Struthio camelus: one gene and its partner. The protein of the gene in region 2 purifies or fractionates together with the protein of the main gene of each other region. This does not show direct contact. Links are inferred from orthologs where the notes say so. Each region holds a gene or a part of one and is shown on either strand. Other genes may lie near its edges.

Region 1 (14,673 bases), on a different chromosome or scaffold from region 2:
GAAAGCTTAAATTAGTCCTTTGAAATCTGACCTAAATTAAAAGAACTAAAACACATTGTTATTGCACCCGGCGAGGGCTCTGAGCGGGTGCTCCAAGGACAGCGTCAGGGCACTATATGCAGAAGCAACTAAATTAGCTACCCAGCAGAACGATAACACACAACTTGGGCAAGGAAAGGTCAAGGGAGAGCTTGCTATTTATCAAATATATGTCTAAACTAATTATTCAGTTCACAAAGTAACCCTTCAACCTATGTGTGCGGTCAAAGCCCTTTTGAAACGTTGGCTATCATCAAAGGACTTCATAGCCTGGGTACACAGAAAGAGAATAACTCCTTTATACACACTGGGGCAGACATTTTTTCTAAATATTTAAAAGTAGAAATTCTCTAAGCTCCCGAGAATAAAAAACATATATGCAAACACTTGATATAAGTGTAAACACTTTGATATAATTCGGAAGTTGACAGTCCCAAAATTCCTGCAGGTCCTGTTGCCGCGCACACGGCTTGCGGCCTCAGATGTTACTACCTATCACTGCTTAAGGAAGAAAACTGCAACCAGTGATAAACACAAGCAGGATCCAGTCCTTAGTGAGTATCCATTATATCAACATTGACATTATCATTTACAGTAGTGCCTCAAGATACTGTCTTCAGTACAAATACTCCTCCATGTATCACAGTAACACCTAATGGTCACAGGTCAGATTCACAGCTCAATTAGTCCATCATTTCACAAGAGCACCTTAGAGAAGCTTGCCACCAAAGAGATCAGATATACCGCAGATAACCAAAAGTAAAATACTTTGATGCAGTACAACTTCTTACATGTATCCTGTATTGTATGGATAGCAGTGCAGTTGATTACCCTATTAGATAAATATTGCTTGTGCTAAAGTACATATTTAACCAGATACTGGGGACAAAATGGTTGCAAATATCCCTAAACTTGTATTGAGCTAAAAGACAAGAATGTATTTCAACTGGAGGTTATATATTACAATCAAAAGAAATAAAAGGCTACAATCTCAATTCCTGTTAAAGTTGCATACAGCTCTCTGCACATTCTGAGTCACTAAGACAATAAATAGTAACAATAAAAGCATCCAACACCAAAACAGACAAAATTTGAGGTGTGTCCGGGCTTTGAAAAGTTTAGGAAAAGGATATACAAACAAGAACGTACCAACAGATACAGGCTCAAAATAGGAGGTTTTATCAAACGTAAGGAACAGATCAAAGTATGTCATAAAAGGTCATAGCCCTGCCGACCTTCTCAGCTGGTATGAAATGTCATAGCGCCAATGACGGTACAGTCAGCGGCCCGACCACCAGTTTATATTGTTGGAGCACCTGACCCTCCAAATTAGCTGTGGCTCAAAAATATTTGGCATTTACAAAATTAAAAAAAAAAGTCAACTTTGTCTTTGAAGAACTTTTTCCAAAAGGTTTTTTGTTTTGTTTTCAGCCCAGAGAGCCTGTGGGTGGCAGTGATGAAACCCAGAGAAGGTGATTGTGTAAAAAATTAGGTTTTTTTTAAAGGGGTTTAACAAAGTACATAAAGGAGGTTTTATTTCCCAAATCTCAGATATAAATCCCACACAATTCCCTGTATTCTACAGCATAAAAGCTCTTATTATACCATTAACTTGGAAGCTTTTCTCTCCTTTCTGGTAATGATTCAGGGTTCGCACATCTGATGTTGTTTCATATAAGAAACATTCCCGCCCAGGGAAGACATTTTAAACCCCTTTTAACAATTTACACTTTGATAAAACCCAGATTCTACCCGCTGGATATTCATTTTGGAAGAAGCATATTTTTAAACTGTGCTTTTTAAAACAATAAAGGTGAAAAGCTGAAAAATCACCAGGCGTAATGTTACCCTTCTCCCTATAAAATACTATACCAAACATGCAGCCACATTCTTTTTGATTTAACACTAAAATTAGGGGACCTCACTGCAAACAGCTAATCTGAAACCAGAATTATTTATGATTTTGTCATTCCTGTGAAAAGCCAAAAAGGCACCAGATGTACAATTAACAAATAAAACAGTAAGTGGTGAGGAGAGTTGGGCTTTTTTGATTCTCATGTTACCTCCAAAAAAAAAAAAAAAAAAAGAAAAGTTTTGCTATCAACAATCTCCGTCAATGACAGATGACAATATTACTATACTTGTTAGACTTTTTCAGGAACGCTTGCTAGAGAGGATGGCTCATCTTCTCTAAATAATTCAGTCTCTGCCATCAATAAAAATGTACTTGGAAAGGATTCTAAAAATGTGCTGGCTGGTGACATCTATTTTTAGAGGCAGTGGGTAGAAACAAATAAGTTTTGCGTGAAAATTTATTAAACAAAAACAAAGCTGTATGCCTGCACATGAATAGGAGAATGTGTAAAGACCAAATTGTCTCCAGAAAGCTTACTGGATCGAAAATGATCTATGGACTACTATATTGTTTTGATAGTTGAGTTATTACAAAAGCAACCACTTCACTGAACAGCAGACAACAGCCTTATGAAGGAAGCCTCCCCTTCCCGCAAGGTGTTCAGAGAGCAGGAAAGGTCCTACAGAAAATAGTATTATCATTCTTAAATACAGCCGACTCATGCTAATAAAAAACCCAGCCTTTTCTTAACTCTTTACACAGGGGAAGCACGTTGGAAAGTTTATGTTAAGGATATATCTACAAGAACATACCACTAGATGAAGGCTCAGAATAGGAGGTTTCATCGAGACATCTCTTTCAATATAACTGTTTCCGTTAGTCTTTGCTTTCACAGGAATAAACTGCTACTCATGCTATTCAAATATAAACATTCACACTCCTACAATTTGCAATCCATAGAGCGCACTGATTGTTTTTGGACGTGAACAACAATAGGGAAATTTATAGTAACTAACTACAAACACCAATAACGCTGAGACACCCGTTTTTACTCTCTTAGCAGAGTGCCCTGCAAAATCAACTCACCAGGACATACAGCGAAAAATTATTGGGCTTTTTCTTTTCCTCTTAACTTTTCAGGTAGTTACAATCACAAAGGCATGCAGCAATACAAACATTTGCATTTCTGGAGATGTCAATATGTAACAGGCATGTAAGCGCAACACACTGGTTTTCTTAAAGATCCATTCCTGAAAACTTTTATACGTACATTTAGATTTTTTACACGTACATTTAGATTATATGAAGTGATGACAAGCTAAGTGAAATCACTGACACCACTCGCTTGCATATGCTTAACCATACGCAGCCTTGCATGAACACGGCCCATGTGTAAACAGGAAAAGTTGGAAAACACGTAACTTTTGAGAACTAATCTGTTACTTGCCTTATATTTACCAAAGCACAGAAAGATGTTGATTTCTATTTCAAAAATTCAGGCATTTAAAATTAATTTATACTGCAGAATTAAGCATTCTAGACTGATTTACCTTCAGGTTCCAACGTGGCGTCTTCAACAACTAAATTAAATGAAGGTCGAGCCAGGGAAAGTCCAGCCATGGTGACCACCACCAGGCATATAAGGCAACCTGAATCCCAGCTGACCATCTTTTTAGTGTAAATTCCTGGTCCATTTCCATATCTCCATGTGGACTTTAATCCCATCTGAACACCTCTACAGAAGCATGGACAGAAAGCAGTGCCTTCGGCCACGATAATACCTCCTCGCTTGGAACGTCTTCTGCTGCTGTGGGAGAAAGAGAGATTTAACAGTGTCAGTGAAACCATCTCAAATGCAAACCAAAAAAACTTCACAAAGCCCCAAACAGGATTGAGAGTGGGAGGAGAAGGATGGGAAAAGTAGTTTTCCAGCCTCAAGAATATGTGAAAAGTGAGTGACTTTTCATTTTCTGTTAGCAGTTTCCATCATCACCTGAGGCGTAACCAAGTCCTCCTTGTTTTCCCCAAATCACTTCTCAGCACATATTTAGAGAGTTATTTTAATGACAGAAAAATATATAGCTTTAAAAAAATAAGAGCATGCACATGTGCAGGCACATAACCTTTAATATTACAAAATTACCACAATTATGCAAATTGTATTCTTGTTACTGTTTGACAGTTTATGTAAGTTTGCCTTGTTTTTCAGTCCTTCACCTAGGCAGTTCTGCAGTCAGCTGAATTTTCAATAATTCAGTAATCTTCTACAAGGAAAACAATTGAAAAATACTCTCTAGGCTAGAAAATCTGGAAAACTTTGCATCACTGCCTGAATTCCAACTCTTCTCTACACTTCCTTCCGCCTAGCTTAGTTCAGTGTCCATTTGAATGTCTGAGAATCCAGTACAGGTAAAAGGGTCCAGTCTTTGCAGCGGTACTTCTTAATTAAAGGGGATTTCAGGCAATTAAAATCCGTATAAAGTTTGATATAGATTGCCGTTTCACAGGAGATCTCCCCAGCATCATTTTCCATCCACACAATGCTAAGCTGCAAAGCACGCTTACCCATGCACGCACATTTCTGCTCATTCTCGCTTGGGGATGCTCATTGATATGTATTTTACAAATGAGGGGGAAATGTTTATTTCATTCACTGCAAAACAGATCATTTAAGACGAAGATGACTGTTCGGTAAATTAGCTATGCGCTGATGGAAAAGAGAGGAGAAAAAACAGCATCAAACTACTTGACACTGCCTTCAGCGTCAGACCCAGTGACCACCACACCAAGATGCCAGGTGTGGGTCTGAAGAGCATCCTCATGCTTAACAGCTTATCCAGAAAATGGCACCTTATTTTCCTCTCCAAAAATAAAAGTGAGTATACCTCAGTGAATGGATAAATCAAGTAACTGCATCAATTGTTCTAATCTGGCCAATGATCAATCTTAAACATGATGAAAGTTAACCCAAGTTTTGAGGGTGCCCATCTTGAAGGAAAAAAAAAAAAAGCATAAAACCTATTTTTCCCTCCTGCCCTCACCCTTAAAAAGAAGAGGGGGAAACAAAGGGATAAAGGAAAGTTTCTCAAAATTCCCTGCCATCTGAATGCGCAGAACACTAGAGCACCTCAACATGCTGTACTCAGAAACAGAGACAAATACTCTCTCCCTCTGTAAAGGCAACCATTAAAAAGCGTACTCAAATTTTATTAGCCTTTAGCTAAGACCTGGTACATACAAACCAGGTACACCGTATTAAGAGCAGAAATGCTGTTGCGGTGTTTTTTCTGGGATACTATACACAATAATTTCTGGAGTCAGTAGAAATGGATATTAGAAGACATAAATAAGACAGTTGGGGAAAAATCATTAATACGTGGTATTTCTAGTGAAGCCATGGTATTTGAAGTCAGTTTTTTTCACCTCAACTAGTATCAGCTCAATGCTCCATCCTCTTTCAGACCACAAGCTAGCAACCACTATTAAATCTTCAGTGAAAATACCACCAGACCACTGCATAAACATTTGTGAAGAGTTCTCTGAACACCTCTTCTTTAAATAAGTGCAGAGCAGGTGTAGAATTGAAGACTGGTTTGTGTTTGGTGAAGGACTGGAGCAAGCCCTCCTGGACACTATCACCCAGATCAACCCTCTGACTCACTGTCTGACAGCCACAGTGCTGTGGCTCAGTTTATCCAGCTGTAGAGTGGGTAAAAATCCCAATTAACAGACTGCATGTAATGCTAATTCAATTTCCACAAATCATCCTGTGAAACCTGATTAAAGCCTACGTATACAAATGCAAAATTTAATCATAATTTCGCAAAAAAGAAAACATACTGGAATGCTAACATATATTCCAGACTCTTTTTTAAACAGCATCAATTCCGTTCACATTTCAGCTGTTTAAGGCTTTTAGGCTACATTAAAAGTGATTTAAAGCATGCATGTGGCTCCTACCATCATACTAAGTCCTGAACTGTAGCACAGGGCTACTTGCCAACGCACCTTCTCACCTGAAGATTTTTGACAGTTTCTGTACCTGAACATTTGCCAGCAGAAAGAAGGGATTCTTCATCCACAGGACAACAGAAAATTTTAAAAATATCTTGCAAAGGTGTAGCAAAGCAAAAATCAGAGCTCTGGGTCCATCCATGGAACCAAAACACCTTCTACAGCCATGATAGTGACCATGGTTCAAGGACTGCCCTTTCCCCCAAAAAAACAGAGTCCAATGAAAAAGAAATGAAACCAAATTCTTTTCATAGTTTAATTGCCACAGTTGCTGGGGGACGATTCTCTGGAAAGACCTCCTGCACTGGATAATTATGTACCTCTATCTCAATGTTTGGAACACAGCCCCAGCATGCTTTTTGGCCTCCACAATTCTGGCTTCCTGACTACAATACCATAATCCCTCCTGGAGTCTCAGACTCAGTGAAAGCCACACGTAGTGTTTATTTTTCCCCTTGAAAGGGAACTCTGTCTCTCTTCTCAGCCTACACTTTGGGGAGGAGTTGTCAGCCTCCAATGATTGATGGCTCTCCTTGCCACTCGCTCATCAAGTCAATTTTCACCTCGTCACATACCTGCCCAAATTTCTGTGCCAAACTGACAAGCATGGGAAAGCAGACTGGTTTGGGAGCCTAACCAAATTCCTCCAAGCTGTACTTCAGTTTAAACACACACACACACACACACACACACACACACAAACAAGTAGTACTTGTTCAGCAGTGGCACTAATTAAATTCAATGCTCCATGTTCTTTTTAATCTACTTGCATTGTTGTTTATAAGATGTTTATCACTCCCCAGGGAGAGTACAATTTGTAGCGTATGTTAACCAAATCAATACATTGCTCATTGTATAACTCTTTAGCATCTTTCTCTACTAGGCACGGAATAGCAAAATCTGAATGAAACATGAATCTTCCCTCCTCAAAGAAAACCCAGATGCCCTAACAACAGCCTAGTAGCTTCATCAGAAAAGTCTAGGTACATGAAGCTTTAAAACTAACTGTTACGCATGTATATAATCACATGTATGAAAAACATAAATACACAAGTGTGTGTGTGTGTATATATACACTCACATATATATCTACATATACATATATAGACAACAAGACTCTTCATCACTGTTCAATCTCCAAGTAGATTTGAGCATCACAGCTATTAAACATTAATTCTGGAGGACTAATGGGAAACGGCTGGCGGCTTCAATACTTTTTCATTGTTCAAACTTCTTTCATTTGCTTTCCAGGACTATCCTGTTTTTCTCAAGTCTTTTGCCACTAAGAGATCAGAAAAAAAAAATCTGCATTTTAATTGACATTCCAGAGAGAGAGAGAAGTCCAGAGGCTGCTGATTGCTGTCTATTCAGCCCAAACAGGCTTTTCAGATGAAAATGAGTAAAGGCTAGTGGAAGATTTACAGGGATTTGGTACAAAGGAGACAATGAAGTTTTAAATGTTGATAGCGTTTCACACCAAACGCATAATGGATCACTGTTTGAACGGGCCGTTTTGCATTTAAATATATATTTCACTGAGGATCTCTTCTTTTCTCCCCCCCCCCCGCCCCTTATCTCAGGCGGGGGCAGTTATGTACCGCCTGGCCCTCTAACCCCGAGCATCGCGGCGGGGCACGGCGGGCGAGGACCTCCCGCTTCTCGGCGCTTTTCCCCGCCTTTGCGCCGGGCTCCGGGCGGCCCGTCGAGGCGCCGGCGGCCGGGGGCTGCGGGGGCTCCTGCGCCCCCGGCCCTACCAGCACCTCTCCGGGGGTCGGGAGCGGGTGGAGGGGGGGGCAAGGTTAAGCCTCCCTCCTAAAAAGCAGCCCGCTAACCGTGTCGCCGTGCCGTCACCGCTGCAGACCCTCCCCAGAGATTTCCGCGCACCAAACGGGCTCCGTTTTTCTGCCAGGCTCCCGCACCCCGAGCCGCAAAGACGGTCAAGTGATGGAAGTGCCCCCCCGACCTCCGCGGAGCCCCGCACCGCAGGCTGCGGACGGAGCCGCGGGGCAGCGCCCCTCCGCGGGCCGCCCCCGGCCGGGCCCGCACCTCTCCGCGGCCCGCGGAGCGGCCCGCCCCGCCCCACCGCCGCCGCGCACCAGGTGCGAGGCCCCCGGCGGCTCCGGCGCCCAGAAGCCGGGGTGGGGGGGGGAGTCCCGCTCTCGGCCACCTTGCCCCCACCTCGCCTTTTGGGGGGGGGGGTTGCATTTGCCTCCCGCTCCCCCCCTCCCCATCCCACCCCGCGCCGGCGCAAACCCAAGCGGGTGCCGTTTACCTGCAGGAGAAAAGCTCCGCGGGAAGGGTCCGCTGCCGCCGCAACAGGCGGGCAGAGGCGAAGCGCGGTGCCTCGCAGCGGCTCGGCGGGACGGGGAGAAACTCCTCCGCGGCCGCGGGTCACTCCGCAGGTAGCCCCGGCGGGGCCGGCTGGCAAGCCCGCAGCGGCGCAGCGGGGCGCATCCCCCGCGGGGCGCGGGCGGGACGCGGCTCGGCGCACGGCTGCGCGGGGAGGCAGGAGCAGCGGCTGGGAAGGCGAGGCAGAAACCGGCCCGACTGCTCGTCCCCTCGCTGCGCTGCGCTGCGCTGCGGCAGGCTACCGCCTCAGAGGGGCGACCCGGCCGTGCCCAGCGCCAGCAGCCTCGTCCCCCGCGCGGGCATCGCCGAGCGCAGCGCCGCGGGTCCGGGTCCGCTCCATCCAGCCTCCCTCCCGTACTCGCCGCAGCTTTGTCAAGCCGACAACCCTCCTCTTTTTTTTTTTTTCCTCCTTTTTTTTTTTTTTTTCCTCCCCTCTCTCTTCTCTGCACACTCCTCCGGCTACCTTCCTCCCTCCCCTGGTCACTCCCCCCGCTGCAACCCGAGCCGTTTCCTGGACGGCGCTGCTCGCCTCTGCCAATCGCGGCGGCCGCGGCGCGGAGCCCCTTCCCCCGCGGCCGCCCGGCGCGGAGAGGAGCGGAGCGGAGCGGTGCTGTGCCGTGCGCTGCCGGAGCCGCCGCGCAGCCAGCGCGGCTGGGCACCGGCCCGGCCCGCCCCCGCGCAAGGGCTGCGCTCCGCGCCCCGGTGTTCCCGGCTGGGCAGAGGGGGCGGCCGTGTCCCCCCCCCCCCCGGGGCAGCTGGGTCGGGGCCGGGCCCGCCTGCGTCCCCTCCGCGCACCGGGGCCACGGCCCGCACCGGCGGCGTAGGCAGGGCAGGACTGGGCTCCTCATGCAGAAATGGTACCAGCACAACATTCCCGGAGAATCTTTCTTGAAGTTTTTAGGGCCATGGCTGGCTGATCCGTAGCCTGTTCCAGCCTGCGAGGGTGATGAGATAACATGCAGTCAAAAAATCACCTTCGTCTCAGGAGCCCTTTTAGCGCAGAGCCTGATTTCAACTGTTTTGGATTCCTCTGACAGTACACCTTTAATAATTCTGTATGTGGTGCCCAAGGAGGGAAAGCTGTCAAAACAGTTCATCAGATCTTATTTGCCTGCACACACAAGATTTAGAACAATGCATAATATTAGCATTTAAAATTCAGTGCAAGTTAAACTGATACTTGCTTAATAAAACATTTGCTTTAGATATCATTAACTAAAAGGTTGCTAATACAGAGTCCGTGTAATGCTTGCTTTGTAGAATCAGCTCGGCAATGAAATCAATAAGCGGCAGTTGCCTCAAATTAAATCAGCGTTGATCAACTTAGTGTTGCTTTATTTAAGCATAGCTCCACTGTACCTTTTTGTTCTGTGCTCTATCAGCAGAGGGGATCTTCAAGGACTGTGACCCCACAGAACAGTATAACTCTGTACATACTTCCAGACAGCAAAAAACCTGAAAACAAGTTTTCTGTAGAGTATGTGCTTACCTCCCAGAAAGTGTTTTCCCACCATCACCAGCAGCAAGGCAGGCTTTGTGAGGGACAGCAGACAAATTTGTAATTGATTAGAAACACATTTTTTTCTTTTTCTTTTTTTTTTTTTGGTTCCTAGAGCCACAGACATTTGAATGTTCTAATTGAGAAGCTGAGATGTCACAGTCAAGGTCCAATTTTCCCAGGTCCAAGCATGTCCATTGCCCATTGAAAACACTGTTAATGCATTCTCACATAAATTATTGTCTAACACAGGAAGCTGCAATACCTTTCCCCATTCATCGATATCTTTGCATACTTTGAAAGAAAAGGAAGCATTCCACTAAAAATGACAAATCAGAACACCTATTTCCAATGTCTGGAAGCACTCGTCAGGAATTATTCTTCTGAGGAATGAAAAGATAGCAGTCTGTCATTAGCACCCTATTCTCTTAAATGAGCCACATTCTCTTAAAAGTGGCCCACAGCAGCCCCACTCCTCAATCTGAGAAAAGCAGAAGCATGTTTGGAATTAAAGGGGGTGGGGGGATCAATTCTGTCATCATATTTAGGCTTCAAGAGATCTCAGTGGGCCCAGGGAGCCTTTCATAGCAGTTAGGCTGCTGAATGAGAGCATAATCTCTTTACAGTTTTTTCCTCCTCCTCTCAAAGTGGCTGGAATCTTTTTTGTGAGCCCTCCTGCACGTGAATGGTGTGGCTAATAAGCCTATTAATGAGGTTCCACAGTGGAGTGTGAATAGGTAAATAAGCCCCAATCTGTTGAGGTTCAGGAGCAAGGGCAGTAAAGCCATCATGAACTAAAGGTGACAGTTTGAACTGAAATAGGAACAACAGCTCCAGGTTTCAAGCAGAAGAAAAGACAGACAAGGCCCACATTCAGAATCCTTCTACCCCCTACCGAGCTCTATTTTCTTTCCCATTCTTCCTCCTTTATAAAATGTCTTGAGTAGTCACCCATTTTTTCAAAAGCTCTTGAGACGTCCTTTTTCATCCTGGCAATGATACATCAATAGGGAGGAAGGAAAATGAGGACACCAATGCTCCTTTGCACCACAAGTTTCAAAAGCCCCGAACAGCGCTGTCCCCTAGCATATGGAAGCGGGGGAGGAGAAGGAAAGTTAAATTGAATCTTTCAGTATTCCCAGCTCTTTGTCACTGCTGTCAGCTGGACTCCTGGTTCCCCCTTCCACACACAGGCGGGGATACAGTTAATGTTCAACAGGGGGCATGGTACAAACGAGGTGGCTCCAGCTGCAGGGGAAGCACAGCTGGGCTCAGCAAAATCTCTGCAGCAGAACAAGGCTCTGTCCCTGGGAGAGTGAAGACTTAACTCATTTCCACCTGGCATCTCAGGGCAAGATGGAAATGTGCCTGACTTCAGACTGCTCCTGAGTTGGATCCGCAAGAGCCCAGCTCAAGCGCTTCTGGAGATGAAAGTTTAACAAAGCAGAAAGAAAAAGGGCTTGCATCCTCTGAGAGAAAAGGTGAGATGGGCAATTAATTCCCATGGATGATGTGGAAAATGTCACCTTAGAAACAAATGAAATACAGGGTTTCTGAGCAACCCTCAGTTCTGATCCGCATAGATTCTCTGACCTTTTATTATATCCTGGAGATATTAACGCAGTCAGGGTCCCATGGAAACCTGTTCCTCTGTGGGAATTCCAGTGAGGGACAAGCCACAGCTCCTGCCACACTGCAGACAGATGGCAAGGTATGCGACAGGTAGGCCACAGGGTACCTGCCGGCAGCAAATTCTCCTACTACCGGTGCTGGACTTGCTCACATGTCATATTTCTATTTGATGAAAAATAGGAATATAATATGGAAGAAAAACAAAAGAAAGAGAAAATGCATGCTTTAAGGCTTTTGTGAGCTATGGGGAAAAAACCTCTAGATCCTAATTTGGCCATGCACATCACCAAGTGCTTAGCTTCTCCATGGAGGACGATGGGAAGCAACATTTCATCCCTATTCAAGCTGTCTGTCCACAATTTTTGCTTGACCGTGCTGCGTACAATTAAATACTTGTCCAAGATGGTTTTTTTTAAGTTCTTCTAAAACTAAGTGCCTAAACCCAGGCTCTGGCAGCCATAATATTTACCTGGTTCCCGAAGTATTTATGGCTCCCTTTCTTGGCAGCTTTGAACTTTTCTTAAGGTGCCAAAATACAGATCATAGAAACACACTTCTGAAAATCTGGTCAAATTTTTCTTTTAAATGATAAGCAAAGTTATTTGATATATCTGTTTCTCAATTTCTTGGGGGAAAGACTTCACATAAATTAATATTAACCCTTTCTTACATAAAAAGGCTGGCTCCAGCTCATGTGAGACTCATGTCACTAGCCTTCACCACGTATTACTACAAGATGCTGCTAAATTGAAAGACTATGATAAAAAATCTTTATTTTAATGTCAGTAGATCCAGTAATTACCCCTAAGTCTGGAACAAGCTGGCTACCAAGTTCTTCTGCACCAAAATCTATGGGGCGGGAGGGAGGTTCCAGCCTGCAAGGGGATAGTTTTACTGAGTGTTTATCAATAATAAAACTCCTTCTCATTAAGCTATAGATTGTGTCAAATTCATTCCTTTGGACTATCAATTTTTTTTCTCCCTGTCTATTACACCACAACAGAATCTTCTAAGAGAAATCACCTTAGCCAGTACTGCCAAGCAGTTGGAACAAAGACAGATCATCTTCACTACTAAGGTAGCAAGCAACGTTTTGTAACGGCATTTGGGGTTCATCACCCTCTTCAGATAGTTACACCCCATAGCCATGTAACCTTTCTGGGTACTCCTCACATATTGTACGTCTTAAGGAAAAGATGCAAAAATGCTTTGTTATTATTATTACATTGTTGCAAGATACATTTAAACAGGAAATGTGCTGTGTTATAATTAGGGTATTGCACTGTGGGATGCTGGACATTTGATGCTGTCTGCCATTCCACGCCAGCTTTCCTACACAGTCTGGGGAAAGTCACTTAATCTGTCTATGTCCAAACTCTCCAGCTATGAAATGAGAATAATAGTTACTTCCTGTCTCCCATCCTTTAGCCATTTCATCTGTTTAGATGGTAAGCTCCTCATCTGTAACCATGCTTTCATGCACTGCTTAGAACAATAAGACACTGATCCCAGCTGGAACCTCCAGGCACTTCCATAATGCAAATATTGAATACTAATTAATCAAAATAAAAGAAAATCCTCAATTTATTATGTATCCACTCATAAAGGAATTGTCACACACTGTCCTTTCCGGGTAGAGCATCTCTGGCTCGAAATTCACTCAGGCACTATGTTTCAGCCTCAAGTACTGGGCCTCTGAGCTCTTAATATTCATTTGGTCCGACTGGACTGCTCTGCTACACTTTCTGTTCTCCAGGCCCCTGAAGTATATTCTTGGGAAAGGATTATGCAGAGATTATGACAATATTTCATAATATTCAGGGTACCTGCCTCAAATTCCCCACACTAGACTATACGGTTTGTAAAGAAAGAGAATATTAAAACCTTTTTGGGCCAAGAGATGAGCCTGGTGCTGTATGTACTCAGCACTCTAATCCACGCTCCCCTAAAGAGCAAACGGGCAGTTACCTGGGGAGAATATCTTTTCCAAAGCAAGGGGAAGTAGTATCCATTGAAGAGTATCTTTTTACAGTGATTCCCCTTAAAAAGGGCCCTAGAGAAACCATATGAATAAAACCTTTTCCTTGAGAGCAGGGCACAGCAAGACAGAGACAGACTTATAAAAATGAGAAGACAAAGGCTGCACAGACGATTTTTCTTTCTGTTACAGATTATATCTCTTGGAGATATTTGGCTTGTTGGCCCATGCACTTTTTGTTTCTGTTTCCAGTTGATTGATACATGCTGGTTTGTTTTACTAAAGCTCTCCTGTCTAATTAGACCAGCCGGGAGTTGTGGCAGCCTCCCATACAACGATACCTCAGATCAGATTTTGCTCTAGTGACACTACAGAGCTCAGGAAGCTTGCTATGACTTTCAGGCACAACCTCAGGGTAGAAGGTGTTAAGTGGGGATTACAGCAGGGTCAGTGCTACAGTTTAAACCCTGGGAGTAGAAGAAAACCAGTAGGCACAGATCCATAACATAGGCACTCCGTTATTCTTTTCGGGTAGGGTCCTGTGTTCAGGCTGTCCTAGACTACTGAATTCCTGCAGACCCCTTCCGCTTCCCACTTCCTTCGCTAGAGTGCCAAGCTTTTACACTTACAGTTTGCTCTTTCAGAGCGCCAGCTGCAGACTCAGACAGACATGGTCACTTTGTAGTAGTTCAAAAAAAAAAAAAATCACGTTTGACTTTCCACTACCACAGAACATACATATGTAATAAAGTATTAAATGCCTACAAGTATTCCCCTGCCTCATTTTTCTCATCCATCAAGCATCTTTAAGTGAGAATTCTCTAAGCAGTCCATATTCTTTCTTCTCTTCCTGTCCTTTGCACACAGTTTCATTTCTCTGTCTCCTACCACCGTTTCCACAGGAATTTCCTTCTTTAGTGTTTGTGAGGGACCTTATCAGTGAAACCACGTCTTTTATCCCCTCAAATCCCCAATTTGAGATGCCCTCCCATCCACTTTGCAGGTGGTTAAAGTACCCACAATTCCACTTGAGAAACTGGATGGCCTTGGAGGGAAGCCAGTGTTCTGCTCAAGAAAGCCTCCATGTAAACAGGGGATCATCAAGGTTTAACAACCCTTATTTGTTAACTCCGTAACCACCTTTTCAAGCTGCGGTCTAAAAATAGGATAAAAAGGTGATGGTCAGGCAGATAACGTCCAGCACAAATGGAGATTTGCTATTTGTTTCAAACACACAGAGTTCCTTAAATAAGTCGTAGGTTTTACCATAGAAAGGATTCCCAATGCACCACACAGACCTAAACCGTC
Region 2 (14,851 bases):
TACTATTTCCTAAACTTCAATGTTTCCAAAGCTGACTATACAACGATTGTTGATTGCTGGAAAACAAGAGGTGGAAGACTCCTTACTAAGTGGAGGAGGAAAAAAAAACAAAATTAAAACAAAAAAAAACCCTTAATCTGTTGGTCTAAGTTCTAATAGTAACTTACTTTGGCACCCACGTTATGTAACAAACAACCCAAATAATATTCATCATGTTCCAATTACATCAAGAAACCACTAACTTTTGAGCCTCCAGGACAAAGTAGTCTGGCTTTAAGAAACAAAGCAGTAAGAAGATTTACTTTTCAAAGCTATGTTTTGACGGACATTTAAAATCATGACAAAACAGTTTTCTTTACATCTCCTGTGTACGCTTAAACATGAACCGGCCTAATAAATTAATGTGTGAAGTTAAATGTTAACAGGATTTCATTCTTAAAAGTTATGTTAGAAAATAGACTTAGCCAATAATAATGTATGTTAGAAGACACATGCCACAGTTTGCTTCACTCAAATTCCAAAAAAGAGAGGCCCATTTCCTCCAAAAAGAGTAAGTGGAGCTTTAAACGTACCACAGGGGGTTCCTTGCATCAAAAAGGACATATGGTAACTGTTACTGATAAGAATGAGCTAGCAGTAACTTTGTGGTTGAGCCACTGGAGTAGGTCCCTGGAAATCAGAGCTGATCTCCTAGCTCTAGAACAGACCCTATGAATTATGCTAGATGGAGTCACCAAGCTGCTGAGTCTCATTTTCCCCATCTGCTAAACAGGAGTTCCCCCTCCCCCCCATTTCCAATGGGTGAAGCATTTAAATTCTATCTCAGACAATACAGAGGCAAGAGAGAATACAATATTAGGTATGCAAGGGCAATAGTACAATACTTGCAACAGTCTACAGCGTTAGTTCATCTGACCTTAAAAATTCCTTGAAGAGATTCTCGCTTTTCCAGTTTTGCCAATTAAATTATCCAGCCTCTCAGCAGTCATTAAGACAGGAAAAAAAACCTGCAAATTTTAAAGAACTCTTCAAGTAAGAGCAAAAAGTTCTACAGCTGGAATATGGCTATGAATTATATTTGAAAGACAAAAAAAAATATCTTGAACAAGCACCTAAAGCAGACAGCTTTGCCCACTGCCAAGATCAGTTAACCATTAAAGCTAATATTCTGCTGTGCAGAAATAATTAAATAGCCACCTTAGACTCGCAGTGATAAATGGTTCATTTTAAATGAAAACCAGCTACAGTTAGTATAATGCATCACAATTAACATAGAGAAGACAAACTTTCCTTCAAACATTTCAATCTATTTACATCTCTATTAAACATCCAGTTGTGGGAAATATTACATAAGCTATAATGAACAACACAATTACATGCTCAGAACTGCTAAATTCAACATCTTACACGAGGAAACCAAGAACTATGAAACAGAACACTGTCCAAAGGTACTTCACCAAGCAGCGTGACACCCCCCATCAATATCAAGAAACTAATACTAGGTCATATTTATTAGGAATGCGTTAACTGAAAAACATCAGAGGTAAATTTGTACCATTAAGGATCTGAAAAGCTGGTACCGAGGGAAAAAACAAAACCAAAAAACCCAAAGATAAACATCTTTCTTGCAGATGGTATGTTTCTGAAAACAGTATTCACATAGATATAACATCTGTTTTACTGATGGAATCATCAAAATCCATAACTCTCTTCTGTCACACCATTTATTTGAATGCAGAGTACACTTCTTAGTATAGATAAGAACTGAATCGCTAAAGTCCATTTTTACCAGGTAAGCAAAATTTCACTTAATGTATCTGCAAAAATAAAACCTCAGGATACAGCACCGTATGACAATAGATATGTATCAGAAGCAATTGGTGAGTGCTGCAAGGAGAGGCACAAAAATTCTCAGTATAATGGTGACATAATGAATGGCCTTCCTAATCCACATATAACACCCCATTTAGATGATTCTACTTTGGTTTTCTGACCATTTCCCTGTTCTGACTATTCAAGAAATTACTGTAAATATAACCTTTGTTCCTACACAAGAACACTGATTACATTGTGTAGCATAGACTGCAAGGATGTAATTGCAACCGGAATTTTATAGCTTAAGGTGGCAAGAAATCGAATAAATTTCAGATTCCATACCAGAAGCATACATTGACTTAAAGCATGTCATACTGAAATTAGAATCGAATTACAACGGAAAAGTTACAATATACCAGCTTCTTATAAGCATCAGCATGACTTTTTCTTACTTCTCCTGTCTGTTAAACGTTGGCACCAACCATTGTCTTGTGCAAGGTTCAGATAATTCTCGATACAGGATATAAAATAAGGAGTTCTGAGAGGGGAAATTCATACCATATATGTAATCACCTAAGTAGGCAATCATGAATCCACTATTAAGAGCAGTAGAAAAAACTGAACTTCCTCCACAGCCAATTTAGATCACCTAAATTAAAACTCCTAAAGAGAAATAGCACAAATGCTTCCCACAACACCTAACAAATGAAAACCCTTTACAATAGCCAACTCTTTCAACATATTGGTGTCTACAGTTTGGCTGTCATAACTATTCATTCTCCTCCAGTCAACATTAATATGCACTGCTGGGAATACAAATCAAAGGACCAGGCTAGTTATTCAGGCATTCAAATCACCAATGTTTAATTTGCTTGAAAGCAGTTGTCTTGGAATAATGGGCACACTCTCACCATGAAAAACAGATCCATGCTTTGTTGCAGGTCTTGAATCAGACAGACCCTGCATCAATAAAATTGATTCCACAATTCCACAGGCTTTAAAGGTGCCATGATTTAAAATAGGAGATTTTTAAAATATTTGTATATACCCACACACTTCAATATGCAAACTTTAAGATAATGTGTCCAATAACTTTGTTCACTGAAAAAGCTGTCAGAGACGCAATGGAGATTACCGACATATTTCCGTTGTACTTGTAGAAACAGAACTCCTGCAGCTTACCTCTGAAAACTATAAATCCATGTCACATCTAAAAAACTACTTGCATTATTTCTTAAGAAAGACCACGTTCTACAGATCTGTTGATTATACTCGCACTAAGTTACAACAGTTGTTGAACGTTAATAATGTAGTCTTTCAGAGTAATGCTAGTTAAAGGTATTTACTCCTCCCATAGAATACGCCCATGTATCACAATAATTCATCTCCTCAGTGATGCCAATAGGAAACTGAGTACAGGACTGCATAGTCCTAAAAATTTAATCCAGGTAATAAAAAATGAAAATTAATCCAATATGAAAACTCAGAGTTAAGATTACAAAAAAGGATTTGAGATAAGTTTTAAAGCTCTTAATTCCATGATTCCATGTGGATAACACAGCATTACAAAAAAATGCATCAGCAAATCTGCCATGTTAGTGGAAACTCTTTACCCTGTTATTACTGCTGAAGACATTATTATTATCAAACTATGACTGAAAGCACAATGAGGATGTAAAAAATATCTTTGCCCAAGGATGTGCTTGCAGGATAGGGTCTGTAATTAGGATACTGCTATGCTGCAGATGACTACATTTTCAATTCGCATGAGTTGTTTATGTACTTAGGTCATTTGTTTATTTGACTTAAATTTATCAATTTTCATTAAAACATCTTCTCTTCTTAAAAACTCATTTCAGGTAAGCAACTTCTTTAAGTCTACCTTTTCCTTTTGAGGAAAAGCTTTTACAGGTGCAATCTGGTCTTTTCAAGCACTGGATATTTATTTTAGACTAGGACCTTACCTTGTAAACCTGTCAGTTCAGTTGCTGTTTCATGTTTTGTTAGTGTTCCCAGTGAATTTTTTTAGATGCCTTATGACACACTGCTGTAGACTCAAGACAATGCAAGTGCTTTACTCCTTCCTCCCTCCCTCACTTTAGGAAGAGGTAGAATACACCAGTTTCAAGAAATCTATGACAGTAGTTTAAAAACAAATCATGGAACTAAAGTGCACTAAAACAAGGAAGTAATAAAAAGAGCATAATTAACCACATACATAGGTACTTTTCAAATTATCTGGTTTTATTACCTTTCTAGTATATATACCCTAGCGTTATTCAAGACGCATAGAATACATGCAGTGAGCAAGGAAGACTGAACTAACAGTTAAGATGTATTCTCTAAATCATTAGTGTAAACGGCCTTGCAGAAAAATCCTTCCTTGCCACTTCTCTCCCCTGAGCATCACACTATTCCAATTACTCTTCACTAAAAAATACTCATCTAAGAGCACCACTTCAAAAGTCACTGAGGGAAATTACAGTAAACAGCAAGAATTTAAGACAGTTAGATGCGTCTGTTAGATCAGAAGTCCAGGTTCTTCTGACTTCCAGAGATGCAGTCACTTTAAGCAGAAGGAAGACAAACATCAAGAGGACAAACACGTTGATACTGCAGAAACTTTTCAGTTTGGTCTATCTTTCTCTGCTTCACTCATTAGGAATAAGCCCTAACCTTGAAACTAATTTTTGTGGGCTGGCCTGAATCCACACTGTTCAAAATCATGGTTTGGAGCAGACTGGCTGCGTATCAGCTGGAGGAGATTCAGGTACAAGCTGCACCATCAGAGGAAGCTCTTCCTTTCCTTTCTGATGGGAGTCTGACCGTCAACTAGGGTGTACATTGCAGATGACTAGGAAACCACGAAGCAAGCACAACTGTCTCTGTACGTGTGGTGTTTACGTAGATCCAAACCAACAGAGCAGCAAGTACTCGGTAAAGAAGAACTGGAAATAACTGGAGGCGTCCGTAGCCCCCGATCTCAGGGTGCAAGCGAGGCTAATTTCCAGCTCCTGGCATTATCTCAGCCTGGAAGAGCTCACACGCGTCCTGCCCGACGGTGACACGAGCGCAACACCAACTCCCCACTACCAAAAGCAGGAAACCGCACTGGGCTGCATCTCAGGGATGTTCCCACAAAACGCGGCCGAGCACCGAGCTTCACCAATGCGAAGCGCCCGTGCGGTTTCCCAAACGCTTGCGAAACTGCAGAGACACAACCCCATCCTGCTTAGATAAGGGGACAGCGGCACCCGGGCGGGGACAACCCTTCCCCGCCGCAGGGGGAGCAGCGGCAAGGCGAGGGCGCCGGCAAAGTGACGCCGGCGCCGGCCAAGCCCCGCGGCCGAGGCCAGGGCCAGGACCGAGACCGGGCTGACCGCCCCCCCTCCCCTCCCCTCCCCTCCCCCTCAATCCCGGGGCCGGTTCCGGCCGCTCGGGAAGTGCGTGCGGAGGCGGCAGGGCCGCCCCGGGGCAGGGGGAAACCCGCTCCCGACGAACGGGCACGGCGCCGAAACAAAAGCCGCCGCCGCCGCCGGAGCCGCTGGTCGCCCTGCCCGGGGCGGCGGGCGGAAGGGGAGGGAGCCGGCGGCGGCCGTGACCCGCGGCGCGGGGCAGCCCCGGCCGGCGCCGGCCGTGAGTCAGTGCCCGGCGGAGGGAGCGGCGCGCACGAGGCGGCCGCCGCCGCCGCGCTCGTCCCCCAGCCCCGGCCGCCGGGGGAGCCCCAACCGCCCCCCCGCCTCCCGTCCTCCCCGGCGGCGGCTCGCTGCCCCCTCGCACCCGCCGCGGGAAACTTTCTCCGTCCCCCGAAGAGCGGCGGGAGCCGCGCTCCCGTCTCCGCCTCCCCCCCCCGCCCCGTCCGCGGCCCCTTCGCAACTTCCCCTGCCCCGACCGCCCTCACACGCCACCGGCGCCGCCACACGCCCCGCTAACCCCCGGGGCACCGCGGCCCCCCGCCCCAGGGCTCGGCTCTCGCCCTGGCCGCCGCTCCCCGCCGCCGCCCGTACCTCCGTGCTGCTCTCGGCCGCGCTCTCCACAGCCATCTTCTGCCAAGGGTCCGCCAGCTGCGCCAGGGGCATCTTCCCCGCCCGGCGCCCGCGGCCCCCGCGCCCCGCTTCCCCACACCACCCCCCCGCGGCGGCGGCGGCGGCGAGGCGCGACGAGGCAGGCAGCGAGCCCTCGGGCGGGCGCGGGACGCCCCGGCTGCCAGGACAGCCCCGGCCGGCTCTCACGGCGGCGGCGGCGGCAGCAGCAGCGACTGCGGGGACGGCCGCCGAGCTGCCGCCGCCCGCCCCTCCCCCACGCGCTCCCCCCTCCCCGCCGCCAGGCGGGGCCGCGCTTCCGCCCTCCCACCCGGGCCGCCGCTCGCACCCGGCTTCCGCTCGCACAACATGGCGCCCGAGCCATTACCTGCCCGCCCCAGCCGAGGCTACGCGCGCGTCACCCCCAGCGGGCGGGGCCGCGGCCGGGGCCGGGCCAATCGGCGCCGCCTGCAGGTAGCGGGAGGGGGCGGGGCCTGGCTGGGAGGCGGGGCGGAGCCGCGGCCCGGCTCGGTGGCGGGTGGCGCCGCGGGGGGGGGAGGCCCGCGGGTCGGGCGGCGCAGCGCGTCGGGAAGGCAGTACCGGGGGGAAAGAGAGGGACGGGGACGACGTAAAGACCGCGGTCGGAGGTGCGGGTTGAGGAGCTGGAGGCTTCAGCGGCCGAGAAAGCGGGGCGCCGGGAGCCGTTGCGGAAGCGGGTGGCGTGTGCGCGGCGGCGGGGTGGGCTGCGTGGGTGGGAGCTGCCTGGCAGCGGGCAAGCCGTGCTTTGTGCAGGCCGCGAGGGCAGAGCTGCCAGCGGAGCCGGGGAAAGGGCTTGTTCTCCTCGCCGTTTCCTCAGCTATTAGCTGGGGCGCGGACAGCTGGCTGAAATACAGGCTGAGATCCCCCCCAGGCCTGCGGCCTGGCTGCAGCCGCGCAGCCCCGACGGGCCGGAGCCGCCGCCGCCGCCGAAGGTGGACGCCCGCGTTGGGCGCCTCGCTGCCAAGTTTTCCCAACCCTACCTGAGAAGGGCCGCTTCGTTTTCCACAGGCCTCGCCCCCCTGCCCACCGACTCTGTCCTAAAGCCTTTCCAGGTGTTGATGGGCGTAAGTCACGTGCTTTGCTTCACCCCCGATAAAGGTTAATGTCGTTTTATTTGGGTGGGGGGCAAGGGGATGATGGGGCAGGAGTGCTAGTACCTAAAAAAACGCGTGTGCGCGCATGCATGAAAGCACGTGGGTGCGCACACTGATGTGGCAAACAGGCTACTTCTGTTTCTGCTCGGCAGCGTGTTTTCGTCCCGCTTTATTTCTGTAAGCGTGACTGCCTGCCGGCTAAGAGGTGCCAAGTAATGGACAGGCCGTGCTCCATAATGAATCGGACTTCAGCCGGTGCTGCAGCGAGCTCCATATCTGGCGTAAAAGGTCATCGCGGAACGATCCCCCCGAGCCACCACCGCTGCCAGGAGCAGCAGCTGTGCCCTCCCCTTGCTTGCTGCTCTTCGTGCTGGCCCTTGCCGCAGCCTCTCTTTTGAACGGGTGAAATTGCTGGTGCTGCCACGTGGTGAGTCAGACTGCAGAACAGCGCCAAGTAAAAACTAAACCCCCCAAACCACCACCACCTCTCAGAAAACAAACCCAAGCCCATCCAAGCTTGAGTTAAAAGTTGAAAAGAAATCAGGGCTGCCCCCTTTGACAACAGGGGGGCGGTTTGTAAAATTCTGGCCTGTTATTGATATGAAGTTTAGAATAAGGCAATAGAAAACAGAGATAATTCAGTAGTGCTTGACAGCTTTTACGCTTAGGTTAATAGCAATTTTGTAGTCTGATCAGAACCAGGTCACTTTAGTCTCGAGCTGGCGGCTGGAATGTTGAATGGAAAGCTTATGTTCACAGCAGTTGTACGTTGTGTGTTTGACACACACATCAATGCTTTTCTTTATCTTTTGAGTTCGTGTAAGAGTCTGTAAAGAAAGAAAAGTTTGCTTCCATCCCTTTAGAGGTGTCAGCTTCTGTTCCCTCACAGGGATAATTCAATTTACATTATTGCAGCTCATTCATTTGTACCCACGCTAACTACACGGTCAAATACCCACATCTGAGACTTGCCGTTATGAAAAAGAACCTGATCAGCTCAAGGGTGGCAACCGTAATAGAGAAAAAAATTACTTAAATTTGCGTTTAACATAATTCAAGCAATCCCTCTTTATATGGTAAGACTTCCTTCCTCTAAATAAAGGCTATCGTCTCCTGTCTTCCCTTCCTACTTGTCTGGTCATTTCCTGCCATAGATACCTGTTCCAAATCATTTATTTAGAGTTTGAAGCTCTTCTCAGAGGGAGAGATGGTGTCACATTTCAGTCAGGGCCTTTGAAAATGTTCATCATCTGTTGTCCTTCCTACGAATCCAGAAGAATAAAGGCAAAGATTTTATGTGCTAATATGTAAAAGGGCTGCAAACAACAGAAACCTGACCTTTTCGAAGGCACTGATGTGAGGAGGATGGGCTGAAGTATGCCATTTAATTGTTTGGGGGCTTATTTGAGTATTATCATACCACACATTTAAATCTTACAAAGGAGACAGCTTCATCAGGATTTTAATAAGAGCTACTACAGAGGAACAGAATTCAGGGCAGAAAAAAACATCTGTAGATTGTCCCCATGGGGAAGAGAAACACATCAGTTGATGTCTGGGAGATGCGGGGGTTTCTGACTTTCGGATCCTGCTAAGTTCTGGGCTGGATCGTCCAGAGAGGGGTAAGACACTGAAGGTATTTTGCCTCGAGACAGCAACTCCTGTTTTCATTCCTTCTGTCTCAGGCCAAAGCAAGACTCGTGCTTTCACCTGTGGCAGCAGACCTTTCCTTCTACCCTCTTCCCCTTTAAGCACAGCTATCACATGTTGAATGTAGTCACCATTAATAACCGCCTGTCACCAGAGTCTGTAGGGGTTGAATTCACCTTGGCAGAAGTGGTCGCTATCATATTGCATCTACACAGATGTTTTACATGCACTTCAACTTGATCACATTTTTTAGGAGAAGAACAGCATGTGGCAGCTGAAGTGACAGTGCTCTGTAAAATCTTGTTAATGTATCGTTATATGAACTCGTTATATGAACGTTATATGGGCTCCACAAACTGCACCTTTTTTGATACCACTTATGACAAATATAAGTTGTCATTGTATTGAAAGGGGAGACATGAGCTTAATAGGACTCATCTATCTTTCCCCTACTCAAGTCAGGTTGAGAGGTGAGCGAAAGGAATAAGGGAAGCTTGCTCATGGTCAATCATTTCCAAGGCTTTGTATAGCTTTGAAGTAATACCTAATAACTCTTTGCATGTAAGGCAGAATTCATTGCAGGGTTAGTAAATGGCTGTAGTCACACCCAAAAATCAAATTAATAAGCATAAAACGGGAATAGTTGGTAGCATCACTACAGTACCAAAAGGATGCCAAGAAACCGGAGCAAAGTTGTATTTCCACTAAAGTGGAAGGCAGAATTCCGGTTTATTTAACTGGTTTGAAATCCTGTTTCCCTTGGTCACAGTACCACGCTTTTAGAAAGTATTCTGACAGGACTAATAAATCAAATGCATTTAGGGGTCACAGTATAGTATTTAGGAGCTTGAACTTGTATTTTCTAAATATAAATAAAAGGGAAAAATGAGTAAACCAAACAGTATTTATGAGAGCAAAACCCACACGCATTACATAGATGGTGTAGTAGTGTATTAGGTATGAATTATAATGTAGTTTCTTCTGGATTAAAACGCGTAGAATATGAAAAAGTAAATGCCTTCTGAAAGTGCAAATTGAACTTCAGTTTCAAATGTTACAACCATAGTGTTGAGGTATATAATTTGAATTGACTGTATGGGAAAATATGCAAATGTTATTATTCAAAATTATGTAGAAGAAAACTTAGGAGTTAAGTAAAAAACTAAAAAAATCAATACAATTTATTTTTATAGCCAGTAGGAGCAGAAGAGCCTCTTACTCTCGGGACACCTGGATTCAATTCTTAGAGGATCACAAAGGACAATTGTGTAATTTGGTCACTTAGTGTAGATTCAACTAAGGAGACTTAAGTCTTTCTTAATGATGTTTTCAAAAGTGTGAAGAGACATTAACTGGAGAAGCGTAAATATATCCTGCCAAAATAGAATAAGGAAGCCTTAGCGGAAAGTAGAATTGGTTGCTCTGTGCTTTAGTCAGTGCTTTACTTGCCTCGTTGGGATATTGCAAGCATGTTTTCCCTGATGTTTGGAAAACTGATGATGGCTGGGGAGAGAGACTATATGCTAAAAGAAGTTCCCAGCTGGCATGAGTTGTCATGAGTGAGAGGCACTCAAGAGTTGCCTAATCTGCCCCTGTATGCATGGAATCAGCTATGCAGAACAGGGTTGAAGAGAGTTATAACCTACAATTAAAAAGCAAAACCTGAAATGAGTGACAGTCGTGTATGAATACTGAACCTGACCTTACAAACAACGTCTGCCGAAGGGTGCTTTCACCATTACAGGCCCCTGGATGATGGAATTGTGCTGGAATGCAAACATTTCCTACAATTTCCTCTGGCAGGCTCTGCTTTGAAGTTCTGATCCTGCAACTGTGGCGGGAGATGGAATAATGACAATAAGCACGCTCCTAAATCCTACATATACTAGAGATATGGTGTCTGACTCACCACTGAAAATACTCTGGCTTTTGTTTATGTGTGTATGTTAGTTTATATGGAATTGCACTAGCACTGAAATAAAGTAAAGCATAATGGATCAGACTCTATGGTATTTACTGATTTGAGTTTTATCTGTGGTTACTGCACTAGCAGGAAACATTCTGCCTGTGGTTTCTATATCCTGAGTGGAAATGTGGAATTCAATAAAATATGGTCTCATTACAGCATACCTGTCTCCAACATATGTTCTCATTTTAGTTTTTCTGTCCATATGGATAGCTCAGATTTATATTCTGAGCAATGGAGCTTATCCGGTACACCACAGAGTTTGAGAAACCTTTTGCTGAGTTTGGTATCTTACATGGAAACCTACTATCAAATACAGAATACAAGTTATCACCTATATATGGTGCAACATTTAGAAGCATACCAGAATTTCAGATTGTGGCATTTTGAGACAAGAAGGGAACACTACAGTACAAACAAGCATCCATCTCCAAGGTTGAGAGCTCTGCTGGGTTACATGTTAAATGGGCTATCTGTTCACAAGTTAAAAAGACTCAAAGTTGACAAAAATAAAATTCAATGTTCTGTTAATGCAGTAACAAAGTAGTCAGCTTCACAAGTTACTGCTATAAAACACACCAGGCCCCAAGCAGCCGCAGCCTTACAAGTACTCTACACGTCTCCTCCCTTCCCCTTTCAGCTTCCTAGGCCTAGGATGGTAAGGATCACATACCCTTCAGTTATCTTAGTTACTAAATCAGATCATATTTAAAGAGCCTCCTGACAAGATAGACACCATTTATCTAGTACTTCTGAGATCTAACCTTACTACCTCATTTTCCTCATTTTAGGTTCTAGCCCTCTCCCAATTAAATAGCTATCCTCCCCCAGCTCTAGATCTCTCTAAAAGCTACTCACCCAGTCATCTACTCTAATGAGCCTTAATCTTAACTTCATTTTACAGAATAACCAGTCTCTTAGCCAAGAATCCAGTTTAAATCTGGAAAGCTTTACTATCTTCTCCCTACACCTTAATTATGCTCAACAGGATTCTCCTGACTGTGCTAACAGCTACTCTTTATCGTGCTTACCAACACTTGATACTCGTTCCCTGTGGTCTACTGATCTTTTCCAGAGCTACCTGTTGTTGAAGTGAGCGCACACAATCACAGAACAGCTGAGGCTGGAAGGCATCTCTGGAGATTGTCCAGACCAGCCCCCTGCTCAATCAGGGTCACCTAGAGCAGGTTGCTCAGGGTCATGTTCAGCCAGGTTTTGAGTATCTCCAGGGATGGAGACTCCACAAACTGGGCAGCTTGGGCCAGTGTTCAACCACCCTCACAGTAAAAAAGTGTTCTCTTATGTTCAGACAGTTTGCTGTGCTTCATTTTGTGCCCATTGCCTCTCATCCTGTCACTGGGCACCACTGAGAAATCCGGCCCTGTCCTCTTTACATGCCCCCCCCCCATCAAGTGTTTATGCACATTGATCAGATCACTCCTGAGCCTTCTCTTCTTCAGGCTGAGCAGTCGCAGTTCTTTCAGCCTCTCCTCCTATGAGGGGTGCTCCAATCCCTTAATCGTCCTTATGGCCTAAATATAATACCTAAAAATACCATTTGCTACCTCTCCTGCTTTGAAAAGGTAAAAGGTCCATGTGTTCTCTCCAGACGGTTCACTTACTCTTTCACCAGGATCTAATATATGCACCCTGTCTTTTGCTTTGTAGTTTAACCGAGCGGTGCCTTTCGGAGGGAGGCCCAGGTCTGTGGCCAGCTACAGCGTCCGTACATTCTCTCCAGTGATCGATAAAACCTGTAGCATTATCAACTGTAAATCACAAGGGATTATAGTTGTACATGCTGTACAATGGGCGGTCTGCATTATTTTTGTCTTCTCCCTGTATGCTGTCTGCTGTTTCACTGCGCTTAGGGAATTCCTATGGTGAGCCCTGCCCACCTTGTCATTCAGGTATGTTGCTGATTCACACGCACATATATTGCTAATATATGACTTACCTGAATAAAGAGCTCCACTGATGGTTGCCTTATCCCAAAGTGGTTTTCCACCACTTAGTATGAGCTGGAGGTTGGCTAGCTCCAAAGCTTGCTGGTGCACTTCTTTTCAACAGGATTTTGTGTCCCATGGGTGAAGGGCAGCTACCCACTCCAAATATGGAAATTTTAGACACCTGGCAGCCATTCCAGGACCATATGATGACACAGTCGCATGGTGAGAGCATTTCTATCAATCACCCAAAAACAGTGCTTACTGAAGAGGAGGCGTGAAACTGATGGAAGCCAGTTCAGGATCCCAAAGGAGTGAATAGAAATGTGTTAGCTGAAGCAGCCCTACCCACCTTGTGGGTACCACCTTCGGCTCCTGCTGCGTTGACCCGCTTTGCCCTGTTTGATGGAGCAAGGACATCCTCAACGTATTTCTCAGGAGTCATGACCTTGCCAACAGGGGTAGCAAGATGAGGAGGCAGCAAGATTTATTCAAGTATTGCAAAGCAGCACCTAAAGGCTGTGTCAAGGCATGGAGCTTTATGGAGAGCTGCGGTGTTGAAAGAAGGTATATGTGAGACAGATGAGTCAGAAACGATAAAGTCTGTCTTGTCTGAGCTGCAGAAGGTTCAGGGTTAGCTGTTAGGGTGGCTGTGGTGTGCTTCAGCTAATAAGTGGTATGGACTTGACCTAGATCAGATAAGATACTTTAGGTGGAGGATGAGAGATTATGGAAGATTCTTACATTGCTGGTCCTTCTCCATTACGTGAAAAGAAAGAGTAGGAGGAAACAGAAAGGGAAGGCTAAGAATAGGTGAGGGCTATTTAGAAAGAGAAGAGGAAGAAAAGTAAAGCAATTTTAGGGAGCATTTAAGGAGCAGCTGTTCCTTGCAAATGAATAGCTTGTTAATTTTGTGTAAGTTTTTTTGTGACAACATTTAGCAAGTCACAGAAAATGGGAAAGGCTGATGTTTTAACACTGATAAACCGTAGTTACTCTAAGCAGTTGTAGCAATCTGCCAATATTTTCTTTTTTAGAATCACTTGGTACAAGATTAATGAAACAAACAACCATTCTGTGTCTCATTAAATCAATTACAACCAGATAAAATTTCCAATGACTTCAGCTAAATGTTTGCAATAAGAAACAAATTTTCAGCTCATGAGTGGGCCTGCAAGTTAATAGATCACAGTCTTCGGTATTAAATCACCACAGACAGTAGAAGGGATTAAACGAGTTGTCAGGATCATTTTCCTCCTCTTCTGATTCACTTTTAGCAAAACTGAAACTTTGTCTGACTTCAAAGATGCTATTTTAAAAATCACAGTTTTCAGGAAGGAATGACGTTATTTTGCCTTTTCCACCAGAATGAATGCTCTTATGCTGTGCACCAACGAGCTGCTTGCCCTACTTGAACAAAAGCTACGACGAGGGCCTTTGATCAGTGTTGACAGTGTTCCTGCAGTATTTCAGTGCCTCATTCCTTTGTGCTTTCTAGAACCACTACTAATGACGTTGGTTAAGAGAGAGTGTAAATTGCAATAAGATGGCCATCTCCAGAGAGCGCTGAATTGGTCTATTGCAAGGATTCTTTAATTATTAATTTCCTTGCTACAGATTTTTTTTTTTTGTTCGTTTGTTTTAATAGTTTGTCAGGACAAATAGATCCTTTATGAATTCCCTCAAACCACCACTCATCCGTACTAACAAATTTGTCCACTTTAGTCCACAGAAACCCCTTTCACAGTTGTGACACACCATCACGCTTGTTTAACGGGTTACATTCCACACTGGGTTTATTTTTTCCTTAGGGACAAGCAGGAAATCTGTCACTAATTTCCTTCCAGCCAGCTCTAACTGCCGTTTCTCAGTCCTCTTAATCCTCTGTGTATTTCTTCCTCCCCATTTTATCTCCTGAAGACTGACCTGGTTCTCCTAACTTTGTGCTTGTGTTTCTTTCAGGGTATTTTTCGTTCTTCTTACACAGCCTCGCGTTTGGCACTTGGCAGAAGAAAGGAGTCCCATGCTCTCCCTGCAAGATATTAAGTAGGTCTGAGGTATTCACCTACCTCATGTAGATCTACTTCCTCACTTACCACATCTCCTCTTTCCTGCTCAGCCATCTTTATTTTTACCTATCTCCCATTGTCGCACACAGCATGTCCAAAACTTCACTTCCCTTTTTTACACCGAAACCCTTTCTCTGAATAACTTCCCACTTGCTGTATAAGAAACCACTGTACTCCTTATTGTCAGGTCATCAGCCCCTCATTAAATCAGGGACCTTCAAGAGCTGCATATCTAAAATTCAGCATTTCC

The links.
Region 1: the proteins of RPS6KA3 (region 2) and FGFR2 purify together in Homo sapiens (affinity purification with mass spectrometry; 3 studies listed by BioGRID and IntAct, counting the BioPlex papers as one, with this or other methods). This does not show direct contact. The link is inferred for Struthio camelus from reciprocal best matches to the Homo sapiens genes RPS6KA3 and FGFR2.

The regions. Positions count from the first base shown.
Region 1 is NC_090948.1:6,142,604-6,157,276, reverse strand, and holds the start of FGFR2 (fibroblast growth factor receptor 2), read right to left. Parts: upstream 5,980-14,673; 5' UTR 5,945-5,979; coding exon 5,937-5,944; intron 3,702-5,936; coding exon 3,445-3,701; intron 1-3,444. UniProt on the Homo sapiens protein: Tyrosine-protein kinase that acts as a cell-surface receptor for fibroblast growth factors and plays an essential role in the regulation of cell proliferation, differentiation, migration and apoptosis, and in the regulation of embryonic development.
Region 2 is NC_090942.1:136,902,517-136,917,367, reverse strand, and holds the start of RPS6KA3 (ribosomal protein S6 kinase alpha-3), read right to left. Parts: upstream 5,978-14,851; 5' UTR 5,895-5,977; coding exon 5,823-5,894; intron 1-5,822. UniProt on the Homo sapiens protein: Serine/threonine-protein kinase that acts downstream of ERK (MAPK1/ERK2 and MAPK3/ERK1) signaling and mediates mitogenic and stress-induced activation of the transcription factors CREB1, ETV1/ER81 and NR4A1/NUR77, regulates translation through RPS6 and EIF4B phosphorylation, and mediates cellular proliferation, survival, and differentiation by modulating mTOR signaling and repressing pro-apoptotic function of BAD and DAPK1.